2 linked regions of the Arabidopsis thaliana genome follow. The main gene of each other region encodes a partner of the protein of the gene in region 2 in a complex. Each region holds a gene or a part of one and is shown on either strand. Other genes may lie near its edges.

The links. The genes of interacting proteins can lie anywhere in the genome.
Region 1: RPL4 (region 2) and emb1473 share a complex: the UniProt entries of both Arabidopsis thaliana proteins name them as parts of the 50S ribosomal subunit.

Annotation. Positions count from the first base shown.
Region 1 is NC_003070.9:29,568,962-29,577,405, forward strand, and holds the start of emb1473 (Ribosomal protein L13 family protein), read left to right. Parts: upstream 1-6,844; 5' UTR 6,845-7,035; coding exon 7,036-7,287; intron 7,288-7,595; coding exon 7,596-7,781; intron 7,782-7,981; coding exon 7,982-8,152; intron 8,153-8,328; coding exon 8,329-8,444. Other genes in the region: MSL6 (mechanosensitive channel of small conductance-like 6), read right to left, coding at 265-574, 663-865, 938-1,231, 1,308-1,431, 1,526-3,165; AT1G78620 (integral membrane protein (Protein of unknown function DUF92, transmembrane)), read right to left, coding at 4,901-4,996, 5,278-5,382, 5,496-5,619, 5,767-6,020, 6,348-6,797.
Region 2 is NC_003070.9:2,244,006-2,254,818, forward strand, and holds RPL4 (ribosomal protein L4), read left to right. Parts: upstream 1-4,961; 5' UTR 4,962-5,184; coding exon 5,185-6,016; coding exon of another isoform or gene 6,017-6,021; exon of another isoform or gene 6,022-6,167; coding exon 6,168-6,184; 3' UTR 6,185-6,524; downstream 6,525-10,813. Other genes in the region: GONST2 (golgi nucleotide sugar transporter 2), read right to left, coding at 1-155, 272-423; AT1G07300 (josephin protein-like protein), read right to left, coding at 1,909-2,288, 2,811-3,000; AT1G07310 (Calcium-dependent lipid-binding (CaLB domain) family protein), read right to left, coding at 3,770-4,828; AT1G07330 (dentin sialophosphoprotein), read left to right, coding at 7,126-8,263, 8,350-9,110, 9,218-9,580. UniProt on the Arabidopsis thaliana protein: This protein binds directly and specifically to 23S rRNA. May play a role in plastid transcriptional regulation.

The sequences.
Region 1 (8,444 bases), about 27 Mb from region 2:
TAAACCGGGAAAAAGAAAAGAGAAATACCGTTAAGTTTGGACTAACCGAAATTAGAAGCAGTATTCATAAACCAAAAATCCAAAAGGCAAAAACACTATGAGACCACTATGCAGATTGAGAGAGCCAAAATTTATACATCACATTAAAGTAGAGTAATCATCAAGTATCCAATCCTAATTCTAAATTTGTAGAGCTCATAAAAGAAAAATGAGAAAACAGAACCTCTTGATCCAAACTATATAAAAAGTTTTATCTATAGTTTCTCAGTTGCTGCCAGAAGCTGGAGCACTCCAGTTTGGTGGAAGACGGTCGGAAACAGGCAAAGCCGTAGAAGTGGGCAAGTTTCGGACATTGATATCAAGAGGATACAATCTATACTCAATGTCAAGCTCTCTGCAAATTTTGGCAATCTCTTCAACAAGTTGAGACCTTCGAGCCCATTTCTCTCCCATATCTTGATGATTCATTCGATGTGTTGGCCAAACCGCAATTCTCACGCTGTTTAATGACTCCATGTCTTTGAATACTATCATTGGCGCTGGATACCAATGATCCTTCTTGCCCTCAATGTAACTATCACAACAACGAATGCAGGTAATGAAATACAAGAATTTTCAGGTATTAAAATTTGTGAAACTGTGATTCCAAATTTGCAATGTACCTTGTGATTCTCTGTTTGATGAGTATGATTTTCTCAGCTGGAGTAGTAATGTGGATGGAGAATTCGATACCATCTCCCATATCAGGACTACGGTAATAATTTCCGATGGATTTAGTCCAGAGAAGACTGTTCGGGTACACGACTTTCTGGTTATCAAATCTCAAGAAAACTGTTGTCAATATGTTCATCTCTTCCACAACCATCTGAAACAAGAAGTTTTTTAAACATTAGAATTGAAAAATGAGAACTATTAGTTACTAGTTTTTTGAAGTTACCTGGACTCCATCAATTTCACATCGATCGCCTACATCAAACGGATGTATCACAAACAAGTAGATGATAGATTCAAATACTATCTTGCACATGTTTCCAAATATGAATGCTACAACCACGACTTGCGAGCTCATGACGACGAGGAATTTGGTGGAAGTGATTCCAAGTATGATAAGCCAGATAACAAGTATGATGATCCCAACCACGATATTCACCATCTTGTGAAGCCTGTTTACTGCTGTTTTGGTGTCGTTTAGGGTCAATGCAAGAGCTCTTCTCTCTCTAAAAGCATTCACCTGTGAAAAGGTTGTTGCACATTTTCATTAATATCTGAATTCATTAAAGAGTGTAAATTCATTCCAAATTTCTTACCACCCAGTTTTTAAGAGATGACTTGCTGATCCTGTTCGTCTCAGATGCTCCTTCAAAGAGACTTAAAGTCTTCAAAGCTTCGTCATCTGGCAGAAACCGCATTATGTCGTTTGCATAGATGAACCTAAATGAGAAAATAAGCAATTGCTACTGGTTAGTATCTATAATGCAATACTATTGTAAAGCCTTTGTATAAAGAAAAAAGTGATTTTCTTTACTTTGATCCTGGCTTAGCAACATTATGAAAGATCTTTCTTGCAGCGAGCTTTGCCTCAAACTCACTTCTAATTTGGTTTCCTTTATCATCATCCAAGCTTGGATCCTGAAGCTGTTCATCCAAAGTGGTAAGTGATCCATTCCGGATTATATTCATCAGCCTCTTCATTTTCCATGCGGAAACATTCTTAGGATTCAGCTTATGAAGGCTATCGATCGTAATCCCTTTGTTTTCTCCTCCTCCCCCTCCTCCATTAGATAGAACATGAGAGAGAAACGGGCTTTTCCCGGTCTTCATTGGACTTTTCTGAGCTCCTGACTGAATCTCAACACCCCCTGGATTTTGAAACTTCTTAACCTCAACACTGATTCTCTCTTCCTCTTCCTCATTTTTTTGGATCTCAATCAAAGGAGGACCCGAGAGCGTCTCAATCACATACTGAGTAAACAAAGACTCTTGAATCCTATCGAAGTAAGTGCTCATATGAAACGATGAAGCAAGAACTTTGACCAACAGTGTCTTCACGAGCCACAACAAGAACCCAACCAACAAACACACAAAGATCTTAGTCACAACACGAAGCGCCTTAGTGTTTGCTGCTTTAGCCACTTTCTCATCAAACAAGAAATGCCAAGCCAGTAAAACAAGTCCTAACCATAAGCAATTCTGCACCGCTTTTCGGACACCATAAACGAAATACAAAACTCTTTTCCTCAAAAGAAAGTTCCTTTCGATAAAGAAGACAACAATCTTCACAATCCAGCTCGAGACTAACCTACCACAGATCAACACTAAAACCATTGACTCCCATTTCCATAGCTGAAGTTCCCAGAGTTTCTTCTTACGCAAGGAAGGTATCGCAAGAGTGCAAACAAACCCAGCTATAATCAAAATCAAACTCAACCATTCCAACACAATCCATAGACTAAGTTTATCTTTCCTATACTCTTCTGGTAAATCCTCTGCTGCAAATGGATCATCTTCTTCTTCCTCACCTTGAGTCTTAGGGCTTTTTCCAAAAAAACCTGATTTCATCTGCCCGGATTTCGGAATCCGACCCGACTTCATATCCGCCGTTTGCGGCGGCAACTGAGGCGTTGGCGGATCCGAAAGACGTGACCTAGTTCTCATCTTAAGTAAAGTGCTAGAGCTTCTCTGAATCGGAGCATTATTACCACTACACTTGACAACTTCTCCATCATCGTTATTGTTGGTATTACTGCGACTGTCTCGTCTTCCCACGGGGTCACGTTTTGTAGAAACTCTCGGAGATTCCGATACCGGAGTTAAACCTCTAGATTGAAGCTCGTCCATACCTAAGTCCATATCTAAACAAATCTCACCGGAAGCTTGCTGTTTATGGAGAAACTGACCAATCAGCTTCGTGGGAGGATCTTCGCCGCGACGAAACTCAAAACCCTCATCTTTTTGTTGCTCCCCCGTCGTGGCGGCGGATCTATCAGAATCAACCGCCGCAGCATTATGACCTTTGTTGAGGTTACCTTCACCATCAGTCCAAAAATCGTAGCTTCCGTCTCTCCATATCTTTCCTACAGTCTCTCCGGAGACTCCATTGTTGTTTCCGTTTTCACCGTCGATTTTGACGATAACTTCTCGCCGGTCAGCCGCATCAACGGCCATTACTCAAACAATCCAGCGAAATCTAGGTTTAGCGTACACACCAACGATTAGAGAAGGAAAGCAAAAAAAAGAAAGATTTAATCACACTTTTGGGTAACTGTGAAAGCAAGAAGAAGAGAAAACGCTTTTATTTGATCAGAGCTGGTGATGACTCTTTGTGAGAAAAGAGAGGGTAAGTAATAAGGAAATAAAATTATCTAATTAAAGTATGACGCGTGTAAGCCAATCGCTACCACACAGCTACAACATCATCACTTTGAAATTTGGACGACACACAGAGATCCTCTTCTCCCTCTCTCTCTCTGTGTCTTAATATTATTATTTTTTCAATACCAAACTTTGGCAAAGTTCGAGAAGAAGATGGGAACTTACTCACGGCGAACCATTTAGGTTTTTATTATTTCGTCAAACTTTGGCAAACTAATATTTGTTTAGTATACATTTTGTTTTAAGGATATCGTTTTACATATTTTGTTTGATTCTACGCTAGCATATAGTATTTCAAAAAAAAATCAAATTATTCCATTTTTGGTATTGTTTATTAGGTTAGGTTTGTGCCTTTGTGGGGAAGGGACATTCGTCACATGTATGAAGGACTCACGCAAAACGATGAATATTGTATTTAATGGCTTAGTTAGATGTTGTCGTAATTAATAATAGGTTATTAATTTTTAAAGTAGTTCTTTTAGAACTTAATAAAGAATTAAGCATATTTTAGAACTAGATCAGTTCCAGAAATAAGAAAGTTACAAACTTACTACTATTATCGAGACAGTAGTAAACCCATGTTAGAGAATTTAACCAAAAAAGTGAAAAAACATTGAAAAAAAGTAAGAAAAAGGGCAAGCAAGAGTCTTCTTCAGGCGCGCCGTGGCGGACATTTGACTTTAAGAAAGAAAAAGCGAGATTTGCGCTGCGGCGGTGTAAAAATCAGTCGTAAAATACACGCGTTTGAGGAGCGCGTGTGAATTTTGACACTTGTCAGCTGTGTGTTAGACAGATGTTGCGGCCCATGGGCCATTGTCGTATCTTATTGCGGACCACAGGTTCGTAGAAGCAACGCATTGTATAATTTTTCTTCATGTTTCATAAGTCTAAAAGTAAACAAGCCTGTTAAGTCTCGCTGTCTTGTTTAACAGCTAGGCCGATGGATGCATTTTTCTCTAGAGGCTTCTAAATTAAAATTGGCCACCAGAAACACTATCTTATGCAACGTCGAGAATATTGCTAAAGATGACAGGAACAAGACATAATAATGACAAAAAAGAAGAATGTATTCGAGAAAATCACGACTCTTCGACGACTTCTTTCTCAACCAATTCTTGGTACTTTGTTGTTGCCTTTTCTTCAAACTTTTTTCTTACATTTTCATCACTACTTTCTCTATTTGCTACATAACTTTTTTTACATGTTCTTCAATTTATGATGTCGCAATAGAATTTGGACTTCATGTGAAGGAAATAGAAGAAATCACGTGAATGGATCCCTAAGCAGAAGAAATTTTATAAGTTTCTCTATCTACGGGACAATTGCAAAGGCAAACTTAATTCACATAAATATCATCCAATAATTGCTAGACAATGGTCCCAGAAGTTTTTTCCCCTCATTGATGTTGGACTACTAGTTGTACACAACAGAGTATAATTTATAACACCACTGAATACGTAAGGCTGTGTTTAACAATATAAAAAAAGAATCTAACCTCACTGAGAATACATGACCTTCGTGGCAGGTTTTACTTGACCCAGTTCTGGAGTATAAACTGTTGCATCAAAATCGCCACAATGCTTCCCAAGCTTATGTTGATCACGTTGACTACATCATTGTTTAGCTACACATAGCAAAATAGTGACTAACATGAGACAGAATACAGTCGAGATCATTGCATTCTTGTTTAGTTGGTAACTAATTGCAAGGAATGGATTCATAAGACGAAAACTTCAAAATTCTGTATTGAATGGAAATCGTTTTCCACTCAAGCCAGTTATCTATCAGTCTTTCTGCAAGAAGTGACGGTATATTCATTTGATTATCATCTTCTTGCATTGACAACAAGTAGACAGAGTGAGATCAATAAAACAAAAAGAAGAGAGTTCATTGAAGTGAGCATACCCATTTGAATCCTTCTTTGTCTTGAAAAGAAGCACCTATTATGCTCTCTCCAAGATTGGCAATCTGGGAAGCTAGTACACATACAGCTGCTTCTGGAGGAGTTATCTGTGTTCAAGATATCAAAAGGAAAAGAAGTTTAAAAATCGTGTAATGATAACAGTCTTTAGTAGCATAAAGAAGCTGTGAAGGGAAATTTTGGTAGCAAATAACACTATTACCTGACCCAGGAAGCAGCCAACAGATGCAAGAAAAAATGATGCTAAAAGTCCAGCCAATGTTCCTTCAAGACTCATAGCTCCCTCTGTTCCTCTTGGTACAATCTTAAATGTCGTAGCTAAATACCTGCGAATTGGCAATGGTTAGTAAGATCATTTCAGTTGTCGATTGGATTCATGTCATGACACCACAAGTCCATGCCATACATCAGACAGAAAACAGACACAGACCATAACAGAAGAGGCTATAGCTGGATAACAGTAGCATACTCACGTTGTTTTTCCATAAGCTTTGCCTATCTCGCTCGAGACAGTGTCAGATACTTTAGTGCAGAAACTGGAAACAAAACCAAGCCGGAAAAGCTGGGAAAAAGCTGCTCCTCCCACTTGATATATTGAAAGAAAAGCACAGACACAACCAGCAGCACTTGAACCAATCACACTGCGTGGTCCTCTTCTACCCTTTCTCTTTTCGGCCACACCTTGTGCTTCCTTTTGCGTCATTTTAACCTTCGTTGCCGCTGTTCCCTGTGATATTGTAAATCATCTAAACCAACTTCAGCGCCAGAATCAATTGCAAATTTACTGTTACTATTTCCAGCTCTGGGGTGAAACACGATATTGAAATCTAAAACTTAAAGCATTGCAGAGAAAAGACTAAGTATCTCAATGTTGAGCATGATCAGAAAAAGTAGCTCCTTAATCTGTAAACGTGATTTAGGATCTCTAACACGTCCACAATTCCTAAATTAAACAATAACACATCTAAAATCTAAGGACATTCTTCATTCATCAGCTCGAAATCAAAATCAAAGCAGCGAATTTCTACGTTCTAAGAGTCAGTTACCGAATTACATTCAGGTTGATCACAAATGCACTTACTATGACGAAGTAAGCAGCGACTAAGAGGAAACCAGCAGAGCCATAAGCTCTCCAAGTTAAAGTACCAAGCAAAAACGCGGCGGCGATCCCAGAAGCGGACAATCCGGTAACAAGAAGCGGTGAACCGAGAACAAAAATCAATAAATTGTTAGCCACAGCTGATTTCCAAGTTGGTGACGCCGATTGAATCAGTTTCATCGCCTCCGTCATCACTCCTTCCATCGATGCAGCCGCCGCCGTAGCACCGTCGGCTCTACTTCCCGACGAAAGCATTCCGTTGGAAAGTGGTTCCAGATTACGTCGTCCAAATCTGTAAGATCTAGCGAATGGAGAGGAAGAAGAAAATCCCGAGAATTTTGGGAATCTTAGTGGTAAAGCTGATCTAGAAGAATTTAAGAGTAGAGTTGACGAAATCGTTGCCATGACTTAGCTTGCTTCCGAAGAAGACCTTTCTCTCCTATTGAGAAAAAAAAAACAGTATTTCGGGTTGAATCCGGAGCTCCGAAAAAAACCCGGATCCTTAACCCGTGTTGTGTTTATTTTTCGGTCGTATTCATCAGATTATTTACGGTGTTGCCACTACTACTATTTACTGAGAACCCAATCTTATCCGAGAAATCGGAAAGAGCAGAAGAAATTTGCAGAAGAGAGAAAAACAAAAATGGCGGTTCTTTGCTCGTCTTCGACGGTGATACTCTCTTCTTCTTCCGTGAAATCCTCCGGAAGTGAGAGAAAGTCTCCGTTTTTAGGGTTCTCTTTAACGGCTATCTCGAAGCCGTCGGTACGAGTCGGCATTTATGCGAATTCGAAAAGAGGATTGCAAGTGAAGTGTGAAGCTGAGCCGACGACGACGACTTCTCTTGTTCCGGCGAATCAACGATGGATGTTCGACGAAGAAGAAGCTAATGGCCCTGTAACGATAATTTTTCTATCTCCCTCTGTGTTTAGCATCTACGCATTTATAAAGTGTCGCACTTTAGCTCTTGCTTTGAATTTGAAGTATGGCTTGTTTTTTTCTTCTCCCAATTGCGATTTATTAAGTAGTGGATTTTGCCTTTGACTCATTAGCTGTGTTGTCTGCATCAATTGGCTTCGAAAATTGATGTTTATTCTTCTGAATTTGTTAACTTGGACGTTTTATGAAATTATTAATGTTTGGTTGGAGAGAAGTTAAAAGTCTTTGGCTTGAAACCTTTATTGAGTGTATTCTATGGTTTACAGGACATCTGGAACACGACATGGTATCCAAAAGCTTCAGACCATGTGAACACGGACAAGCCCTGGTTTGTGGTTGATGCAACTGACAAAATTCTTGGTAGATTGGCATCGACAATTGCTAATCACATCCGTGGGAAGAATCTTGCCTCTTACACTCCTAGTGTCGACATGGGAGCTTTTGTGATTGTGGTATGAGTTTCTTTGAGCTATCTGTAGAGAATAAGAAATTTGATGTGCTGCTTTAGTTAATTTCTTCCTGAAGGAGGAGCCTTGGGATTTGGTTTTAGTAAGATTCACATTAGCAGCAAGATGTAGAGCCTCTATGTAGATGTTTGGGCAATGCTTGTAACTTGGTACCTCTAATACTGTTTTCAATTGTTTGGTTAAAGGTGAATGCTGAGAAAGTTGCTGTATCTGGAAAGAAGCGTAACCAAAAGCTGTACAGGAGGCATTCAGGACGACCTGGTGGTATGACAGTAGAGACATTTGATCAATTGCAGCAGAGAATTCCTGAAAGAATCGTTGAGCATGCTGTTCGTGGAATGCTTCCAAAGGGACGGGTTAGATACATAATCCACAGCTCTTTATTAGTCTCCTTTAAGTCTTAACACTTAGCAAATCCGTGTTTCTTCAAACTTATGGATTGAACTTGGAAACTACTTGTTGCGATATTGGTATTGATTGATTACTAGTTTTCCAACTCCCTCTTAACTTTGGTCTGACCATTTTGTGGCAGCTTGGGAGAGCTCTGTTCAATCACCTGAAGGTGTACAAAGGCCCTGACCATCCTCACGAGGCCCAGAAACCGCTTGATCTGCCTATCAGGGACAAGAGAATACAGCTGCAAAAATA
Region 2 (10,813 bases):
AGCTGGAGAGAACAATTTTGTTCAATATAATCATGCTGCAGGAAGAGATACAGTAAGCTGCACCAGACACAAGAGGTCCTGACTGTTTCACAGACCCGTGGTCACGCCTGTTATCTCCATCAACCGGAAGATATCTCCGTCTCCATCTAAGAAACCTTGAGGAAGAATCAAGAAATTCAAATGCATTATTCCCTCTATAACCACAACAAATCTTTAGAGCTCATAACACTGAATCCGCTCAAGAAAACAAAGTCTAAGCATCTTACATTACCTTTCACTAAACCATCTATGTTCGGAACTCTTCTGATCGAGAAGTTGAAAGACAACTCCGTTTTTAGTTTTACTACCATTATCACTCAAGTGACTCAGCTCTGATTCATCAGGCTCGTGGCAAACAATTGCTTCCAGTTTCACGGCAGACATTTCTTGTTCCAGAATGGCAACAAAGTTCCCTCCTCAATTCGCAGAATCGCAGAAAAGTTCCCTCTTCAATTCACGGAATCGAAGATACGAATGATTGATTGAAGAGTAAGGAAGAGACTTTAACACTTATGAGCTCGAAATAGCTTGAAACACGGCGCGTAAATACGAATCGAGAGAGTACGATCGTCAGTGGGAAATGAGATCCACCGAATTTGAGAAGAGGAAAACCGGCGACGATGAAGGTGATGACCTTTTTAGGTAACACGCAAAGGCGTAAGAGGCGAGGAAGAACGTGGGAGGATCTGAGCGAGATTACCGAGGTAGGAGAGAGAGAGTAACCGTCCATGTTCACAATCTCCAGCCTTCAATTTTACTCTTTTTTATTTTAGGGTTCTTCAAATCTGGGAGCAGATTAATTGTATTTTAAATCAGCTGAGAACGGAATGATGTATGCGACGAAAATATTTTTAGCCTTTTAGGCTTGAGACTGCCGGAATCCATGGCGATTATACTGGCGGGAAGATTGCCGGTGGCTGTGTCGGATGTATTATAAACCTGGGCTTGGGCTTTGATATTACGGGCTTTAGACATTAGAATTAAGCCCATACGTTGTTAAGACATTACGGGCTTTTTAGGCGTACTGATGTTTTTAATTCTTGCAAATTTGTCTTTTGGTCTAAACGACTGATCACACTTAATACTTACTGATCATTTGATCGCACACTTGCCGACAAATTTTCGTCTCAGGCTAAAAATCAGTTTGATTTTCATTTACATATATAGATTTCAGTGGATCAACATTAACAAATGGATTTAGTATTATCTAAACGATTAGTGGAGATTTCAACTTTTAGTAGCCCACTCAAACAAATTGTGAACACGACCAAAAATTTGCTATAATTTTCTATTTTAAAAGATATGATAGAATTGGGTAAAAAGACTACACAAAAGGAAGAAGTTGTTTTAGGCTATCAAACGTTAAAGCTAAACAAATCACACACGCTCACACATAGATTGATTTAGGTGGTCTCCCGTTCACTGAAGGTGCTACTAACTGTTAGGGTAAACAAATCAGTGGCCATGCTTTATTTATGAACTTTCTTGGATAAACTATTTTAAATTTACTTTTTAAACTAAAGCATTTTTACTACATAATTAATAAAATGATAAAATAAGTCACACACGAACATTTTAATTATAGGAACATCTCAGAAAAATATGTATTATAGAAAGAGGAAATTCGTTTATTGATAAAACAGAAGTGGCTTATCCTTGTAACTAATCATGAACAAATACGAATATCAAAATCTAATATTTATAGACAGAAATTGAGAAAGATGGAAGACAGTTACTCGTACTACAACAACAGAAGTCACATAATAGATTTATGTAGACATTATTTACATGCAACTCTCACGAATAAGTAAAATAGACAATACGCGAGCGAGCGAGCGACCGAGACAAAAGGTTTGGGAATGATAACACTTAAGAAGTAGAGTTTGATCTGGTGAAGGAGGATGATGAGTTGATGAACTGTATGCAGTCTTCTATGGCCTCTGATCGATGACTGTCATTGTTTATTGGGATGATTGGTGGCTGAGACCTCCCAGAAAAAGAAGAAACCTTCGACGGTGGAGATCTTTTCTTCTTCCTCATCACCACCAGACGCAAACCTTTTGCAAATTTGCATCCAAGATGCTTGATCAATTTTGCTGCTGTCACTTCTGTTTTCCTCGGTAACCTTAATCCGCAGCTTGTTGTGCATCCCGGACTCTTACCATAAGGTCCCTTGATAGCTGTTTGCTTAGCCGAAGCATCTCTCTGAACCGGTCTAGTGTTGAGGTTGGACCGTTTTATACCAGTAGCTGACATATCAAGAGAAAGATAGAGAGAGTGAGAGAAGTTTATGGGAAACAATATGAGGATAATGAGAGATATTTAACGGACTGGTGCTGAGAACAGTTGTGCTGATAGTTCAGGCAAATACGGGAAAAGACATGAAATGATTAATGATGTATATTATCTATAACATCATTACGCTTAGGCCATGATTAAGCACTCAAGACATAAACAAATAAACAACTAACAAAAAAGTGTAACTTCAATCTTATTTTAGACCCTATATATAAAAAGACTTGTAGTTAAAGTGGATCTACAAATTTATAAAGAGAACTATGCCCAAGAGCAAAAAGAGAAGACTAGGTTTAGTTTTTTCTATTTTTCTTTACGGTCCACAGAGGGAATAAACCCTTTGTTTAAGTGAAGAAAAAGGTTAAGCAACCATTTGGTATCATTCTTCTTTGATGATCACTCATGTGTGCACATAAGTTACATAACAATCTAAAAAAGTTTCTTTTTGACTCCAGGAGAGGCCAATATAATCTTACCTTTATGGATGCAGATTCCTTTCATGAGTCTGCGGCTACAATAAAAAGGAGGGATCAAGGAAAGAACAAAAAAACAAGTTAATGGTGGGTACAAGAATATGAGAAAGCATATAATAAACCAGGGAGTGTCAGGACATAAATAGAAGATCACACAATCTGGAGAATAGAGTGATTTTACATGTGAAAACATTCCATTGAGAACAGAACAATAATACCTGCATGATTGTCAGTGATTAGATGCAAATAGCATGAGATTGACTGATATGTATAGCAGGTTACCAAAATGCCAAAAGGGAAAAGAATGCAATAGCAAAACTGCTCTGTCTCATCGTTATAACAAGAGCACAATAGACTTAGCACCAACCGTGTACATACCATTTTACCCAAAACGATCAGAGAGAACATCTTTTCTGCACTGTGATGAGCATGATTCAAGACACATTAATCCAAACGCTCAATGAATATGGAGATCACTGGTTCCAAACGAAAATCACACATTGGTATCATCAAACATGAAATAAGAACCAAAGTCTTTAACCAGCCTGCAAAAATATTCGGCAGAATCGCAGGATATAGGACTGTTCATGTCTGAGACAGAGCATACTACCATACCTAATCAGAGCATGGTTCAAACAATAAATCAACAGTAAAGTGATTCACATTAGAACATTAACCCTAAGAACCCAATAGCTTGATTCAAGAAACTGAATGAAGGAAAGAAATGAGAGATGTTTTAGAAACATGTACAAAGGTACAGAAGGGGTAACACCGAATATCAGCTAGAAAGAAGCAACAAATCAATTCACAAACGAGACATACATATAGACATAACATATACTTCACCAAATTCATATTTTGTCATCAGCCATTTCCTGGTGTTCTAACACCAACAAATCTGATGATAAGTAAAGCCTTAGAAACGCCGCACACTTGTGAAATTCAACAACTTTTTGCCATCCTCAACATTCACGGCGATAATCACGGCCATAGCTGTAGTTTGGCCTAGCTCCGAAATCACTCTCAGACCTCTCTGCAGCAGCTCTCTCTTCCTCTAAGCTCAATCCACCCATCGTCTTCTGCAACTGCCTGTGATCATAAGGAGAGTAATCGACTGGTGCCGATGGACCATTAGGCACTCCGTAGCTAGACAATCGCGAGCCCATAGGTGGAGCTTGTGGCTTGTACTCGGTAACCAGAAAGGCATCAACGGGTGCTGAGGGCCCACTAGGCGGTGGACCGTAGTTAGAAAACCGAGGAGGAGCTAAAGGAGGCTGCTTGTGATCAATCGATGAGAAGGCATCAACGGGAGCAGATGGGCCACTTGGGAGGCCGTAATTGGAGGCACGATCGTACATTGAACGTGGTGGAGGAGGCGGATAATAATACCCGGAATAGTAGTGATCAGTGAATGCGTAAGGAGACGGAGACGGTGACTGTGAGAATTCTCTGTAGTCACGCTGAGGAGATGGAGCGGTGATCGGTGCTTGAGGAGGAGGAGGAGGAGGAGGGCTAGGGGAGTAATAATGGTTTCCTTGAGGGGCAGAATAGTAATCTAGTGGTTGAGATTGAGGACGTGGCGGAGGATGCTGCGGTGGAGGGATTGGTCTGTCTTTGATCGCGAGCTTCAAACGAATCTTCCCCTGTGGTCGACCCGATGGACGAACCAGCTCGAGCGAGTTGATCAATTCCGGAATCATTGACCCGTCCGAGTCAATCAAACGAGCTAGAGGAAACCTAACCGATCCGACGAGGGTTTTCGCCAGATCCGAAGAATTGGAATGAAAAACCTCGATGTTGAGGACCGATTCGTGGACAGATCGGGTGAGAGGAAGAGTAATCCGCTCGTTCCACACCGGTTTGATGGAGGAGGAATCATCGGAGCGGGTGGAGAGAGGGTGGTCTTGGTCAAGATACAGAACAACGTAGGGTTTCAGGTCACCGTTACGCCAGTTGACATTCTTCAGGTGCTTGGCAGAGACGACGGTGACAACCAGGTCGAGTGGCTCCGACGAAGTCATGAATACGGTGCGTTTCAAGACGAGACGGTGGCTTACGCGGTGGTCTTAGCTAACGTGCGCTCGTATCTCAAATATCTGTATCAAAGTCTCAGCTATCATCAACTATCATCGTTTTATCACAGAGTTTTATGTCTCAAAAAACCTGCTGGCTATATAAGAGGCTTTTGACTTTTGGAGTTTGACTCTTTCTTACTAGCGACAGCTGGAGTTATTCATGAACAGGATAGTTATATCCTTATGTCCAAACAGATGCATAAATTCTCACCAAGCACAAGATAGGCATTTGAAGAGTGGATAACACTTTCTCAGTCTTTCTTCTTCTTCTTCGTTGTGATAGGTCAGGTCAGGGAACAACAATGGCTTCTTCTGCAACAGCACCAAATTCGCTATCTTTCTTCTCATCTTCTCTCTTTTTATCCTCCTCTCACCAAATCCCTAAAACCTACATTTCCGTTTCAAAACTCGGCTCCGGCAGAGTCTCGAAGCCGCTTTCTGTCTCTTCCCAGCTAGCGACTCTACCGATTCTATCATTCGAAGGAGAGAAGGTCGGAGAGACGTATCTAGACCTCAAAGCGGCGCCGGAGGATACCGCGCGTGCCGTTGTGCACCGAGCCATCGTGACGGACCTGAATAACAAGCGGCGAGGTACTGCTTCCACACTGACTCGCGGTGAAGTTCGTGGTGGTGGAATTAAACCTTACTCACAGAAGAAAACTGGCCACGCGAGGCGTGGATCTCAGAGAACACCGTTACGTCCCGGTGGAGGTGTGGTGTTTGGGCCAAGACCTAAGGATTGGTCAATTAAAATCAATAGGAAGGAGAAGAAGCTAGCGATATCTACGGCGTTATCGAGTGCGGCATCTGCGGAAGGTGGTGCGATAGTGGTGGAGGAATTTGGGGAGAAGTTTGAGAAGCCCAAGACTAAAGATTTCTTAGCTGCGATGCAAAGGTGGGGATTGGATCCCAAGGAGAAAGCTATGTTCTTGATGATTGATGTGGATGAGAATGTGGCGAAATCGAGTAGGAACATTGGAACCTTGAGGATGTTGACGCCTAGGACACTGAATCTGTTTGATATTTTGAACGCTGATAAGCTTGTTCTGACTCCTGCGGCTGTGGAGTTCTTGAATGCGAGGTACGGTGTTGATGCGGTGGAGGAAGAAGATGACGATGAAGATGAGACGGAAGGTTAGTGTTTTCTTGAAAGGAACTGGCTTGTTGTCGAAATTTGATGTTTTGAATGTTGTGTTTGATCGTTTTTGTCTGGTTTTAATTTCTTGAAGAGGTAGAAATATGATGTGTTAATATGGAAAAGTAATTATTTGTTTGTGTTATGAAGGGTCAGAGGAAGCTTAAGAATGAGTAGCACCCGTAGTTCCAATTGCTTCAAGTGTGGCTTAATTATGAGTTTAATCTTGAGTACATCTTCTCACTCTCCTTGATGAGGTCTTCTCTTTCCTTTTTGTGTCACAACAAGAGAAATGTGTATTTACTTTTAGAGTTTTTCTTAAGAGATCATCCTCAATTTCTTGTCATACTGATTTTGTGTCCAACTCTCAATGAAGGAGTAAGGAGTGAAATTAGATATCATGAGTAACGTTGATTGTGTGTGTATCAGTTAAGATTGAGCAACAAAGATTGACTTTAGTCATCAAGTTAACAAGAAAGAGTGGCTATTATAAGCTTTAAGCGTTGATGTTCATCTTGGTTTTGAAAATCATGAATAGTCTCACACAAATCTGTTAACAACTTGCTAAAAAAAAGGATTAGCTAGAAAACTTAGGAAGTGTCAATAGTGTATGTTATTTACAGACATTTGATGGGTCTTGGTGGGCTTAAGAAGATAGCCCAATCTTTTGAAGAAAGAGATATGAGATGCAAAATCCATGAACTTTAAGGGTCAATTTCTGAACCAGTAAAAAATGTGGTTAAAAGTGTAAGAAAACAAGAATCTTTGGAAACATGTGTAAGAAAGCAACTAATTTAACTCCCGCCCTCTCTTACCAGTTTTCTATTTTGTCTTCTCCGTCCTTACCGTGTGTTCTGAAAACTGAAAAAGAACCAAAACGAAAATCTAAAAAAACCCTTGAAAAATCTATTTTTTATTGACTGGTTATTGTTTCAAATGAAAGCTTGACCTCTCTCTTATTGATCAATTTTCGCTTCTTCAATTAAACCATATTTGTTTTTCCCTTTCAAGCATTTTGATTCTCTAGGACAAAACACAAACCGCCATAGACAGAATGCTTTGGGTTATTATCTCTCAAAGTGTTCTGAGAATTTGAACTGTTTAAAACATGGGAATCGATGCCAAAGATGTCGGAACTCTGTTCTGGAAAATTCTCAGATTTTCCACGAACATCGTTTATAGAAACGTAAGGAATCACCCAGTTGTTTCTGGTGTTTCTGCAATTATCTTCCTCCTATACATTTTTCTTCCACGCCTTTTTTATTTCGTCCTTTACTCTTCTCCGTTAATCGCATGCTCTGTGTTTTATCTTCGGAATCATCCAAGTTTTAAGCTTTTGCATATCAAAACGGATAATTGGTTTTCACCATTTTCCCAAAAGAGATCTGAGGAGGAAGAAACAAGGAAGGCTGACTTAAAGCACCAACGAAGTGTTCGACGAAACGCTAGAAGGAAAGTTGAAGAGGTTGGGAAAGATTGGGACTCTTCTCAGGCTAGTGAAGATGAGAGAGACAGAGTCATTTTAACAACTCTCTATGGTGAAATTCCCAATACTGCAAAATCTCCCAAACTTCAGAAATTCAAGAAAGATGGAGCCTTTCTTGTGTCTGAAGGTTTCTCCTTTGAGCCTAGCTTAGATGAAGAAACTCTTTCAACCACCGGGAATGTTTCCGTTGTGGATCCATCGGAGAGGTTGACTAGTGGTGGTGGCGAAACCGAGATCGAGTGTTCATCGTCATCAGAAGGCGAAGAAGAAGAAGAAACTACACGTGAAGACAAAAAGATTGTAGCTTGGACAGAGGATGATCAAAAGAATTTGATGGATTTAGGAAACTCTGAGATGGAACGTAACAAGAGGTTAGAGCATTTGATTACTAGAAGAAGAATGAGGAGATTAGTCCGACTTGCCGCTGAGAGTAGCTTAATGGATATGGAAGTTCCTCCAGTCTGTGTTGGACGGAACTATTTCGGTTTGGATCAAGAAAACTATATAGTTGATGGTCTTCAAATGCCTGAATCTGCACCTTCTGTGTTATTACCAACTAAAAACCCTTTTGATATTCCTTATGATCCACAAGAAGAGAAGCCTAACCTCTCAGGAGATAGTTTTCAGCAAGAGTTTGCAGCCAACCCTAATGATATCTTCTTCTGCCGCCATGAAAGCTTTTGTCGCAGAGTCTTTCCATTGGACAATCAGCTTGACACGAAATGGGAACCGTGGAAAAAGAAGTCAATACCACAACAAGGTACATCCTCTTGTCATTCTGAAAAATGTTGTAGCTTACAAAGTAAATGATTCTAAGTTCTACAATTCTGATCCTTGCTCATGTAGGTAGCAATGATGGATTGGTTGGGGAGAAACATCCTGTAATGAAAGGAAAAGATCTAACAAGAGGAGAAGTAAATGATATGGAGTCAGAACACATGACAGAGATTGTTGTTAGTGATTCAAACTCATTGCTTTCTCCTGAAGACAGGGAAATGAATTCTGATGTCTCAAATCAAGCATATTTTTCTGGAACTTCTGGGAAAGGAAATGGTGATCTTCGTGTTGAAAACCCTTTAGTTGGTTTAGTTCCTAGAAACACTGGTTCGCTTTCGAGTTCTTTAGCAGCGGAAAGGCAAAGATACGTGGAGCATTTTGGTTATAGCTCAAAAAAAGGTCATAAGTTATCTGTAGAATCTGATCTTCAAGTTGAGGTTTCTGAAATTGGATCACCTCCCACTACAGTTGATGGGAATAATTCTTCTGATGAAGAAAAATCACGTATTGTCAACGAATCAGACATTGGGAAGGAGACGGGATTTAGTGGTGAGGAGAGCATTGTGGATAGAACTGAAGAAACTCAAATGTTACCAGTGGAGAAAGTTGATAAAGATTTAAATGAAACGATTTCTAAGGTCTCTCCAGAAACTTATGTAGCCAAACAAGTTGAGGGTCTGTCTGATGGTACTGATATCAACGGAAGATCTGAGGAAGAAGAGAGCTCAAAATCCGGACGCTTTCCACTGGAAAATTCAGACAAAGGATTCTATATACATGAAGAGTCAACAGTTCCTCACATCAATGAAGTTATTTCGAGAAGAGAAGAGGTTATATAGTTCTTGTTCTTGTCAGGTTTTATGGAAATATGATTGCTACTTGCAATGTGTTTCTCAAAATGTTGAATTTGAATATATTCCTTGTACCGTTATGACAGGAACGTGTCCAAAACTTGACTGATGAGATGAAGATAAATGATGACTCTGATGAACCTGAAGCCTTTGAAAGAAGAACAAATCAAGAACCCCAAGAACATTTTGGGGGAAATGATGGAGACCAATCAACTCAAGAGTTGCAAGAACTTGTGGAACCTGAAGTTTCAAATGTGAACAATGTCACATCAGACGAGTCTGCTACTTCCCCAAGATCAGTGTTACCAGACATGTTGTTATCTTTAGACCAGACTTATACTCTGACTTCTGAGAGTTTGGAACATACATTAGATAGTCAACCTCCGCCAGTGATTCCATATCCGGAATCTCCACAGAATCAATCAGGTGTTGATGGGAACAGTAGATGAAGTGTGCTCAGAGATCAGTTTCAATGACAGTACTTGAACTGAAATGTACCTTTAACAAAATGATGACGTGTGTTTTCTAAAACAAGGATAGTCTGAGGCAAGTGAGAAGCTAGAGAAGAAGTTTCTTCTTTAGATGCCATTGTCCTTTTGTTGAACACTCAACAAATTCAGGCTTATGCAGTGTAGAGGATTTAGGTTCCCTAGCTAAATTTTATGTATATGCTAAAGTTGAACATTAATGTGTGGAATTTGATTTAGTGAAGTGATCATCATTTTGTTTGATGATAACTGAGATATAATTTATGTTGTCTTTTAAAAAGTTTAATGTATTATAGTATGGGAAATCTGATAATGATTGGTTATTTCTAAATTTTAGTAAATTACTTTCTCTTTTAGTTTAAAATAAATAAAGGATCGTTGATTATCAACAAGATAAAATTTTTTACAACAACAACAACTCTTCTCCTGATTATGAAGCTCTAAATATTTTTTAATATTAATGACCAATTAATTTTACCTTTTAATATAAGTGGTCACCTTTTTTTTTTAAAACCGTATATCAACTTATCTGCGTTTTTCTCGTATTCTCTCATGGGATTAATATTTGCTTTTAAATGTGGATAAATGATGTCCAAAAAAACATTTGGATAAAATTTTATCCATGCTGAAAAATGTATAACAAGAATTTTTTTTTTTTTTTTAATAACAAATACTTATAATTCTTACGATTATATAGGTGTAGATTATTATTCTTTTTCATGCAATGACCATGCGGATAATTTTGTCTAAATTTTATCCAAAACTTTTTTCACACTCATTTCTTATAGGAAAAATATTCTACCCAGACTTGCTTGTGTAATTATATGAATGTTAAAAATATTACATAATCAAAAGCCAAGCTCTGAGATCATATATGTCGTATAAAAAATTATTATTGTGTCGATCAAACGTCATTATCTTTTACTTAAAAAAAAAAGAGTTTTTATTTCTTAATCTCGATATTGATCTAAACGATTTAATTGTTTATTTATTTAAATGATAATATCTTAATATCAAAACACATATATCTTATCAGTAATTATCCACATTTATTCTCAGATAAAACAGGATCGAGTCAGAAGAAAAATTCGTTCAAAAAGATTCAGTTGTTAAATCTTAGTTTATCCAAAACCCTCACACTCATCTATAAAAGAAACCCCATCTCCTCTCTTAGGCATTTGAGTTTTATTTACG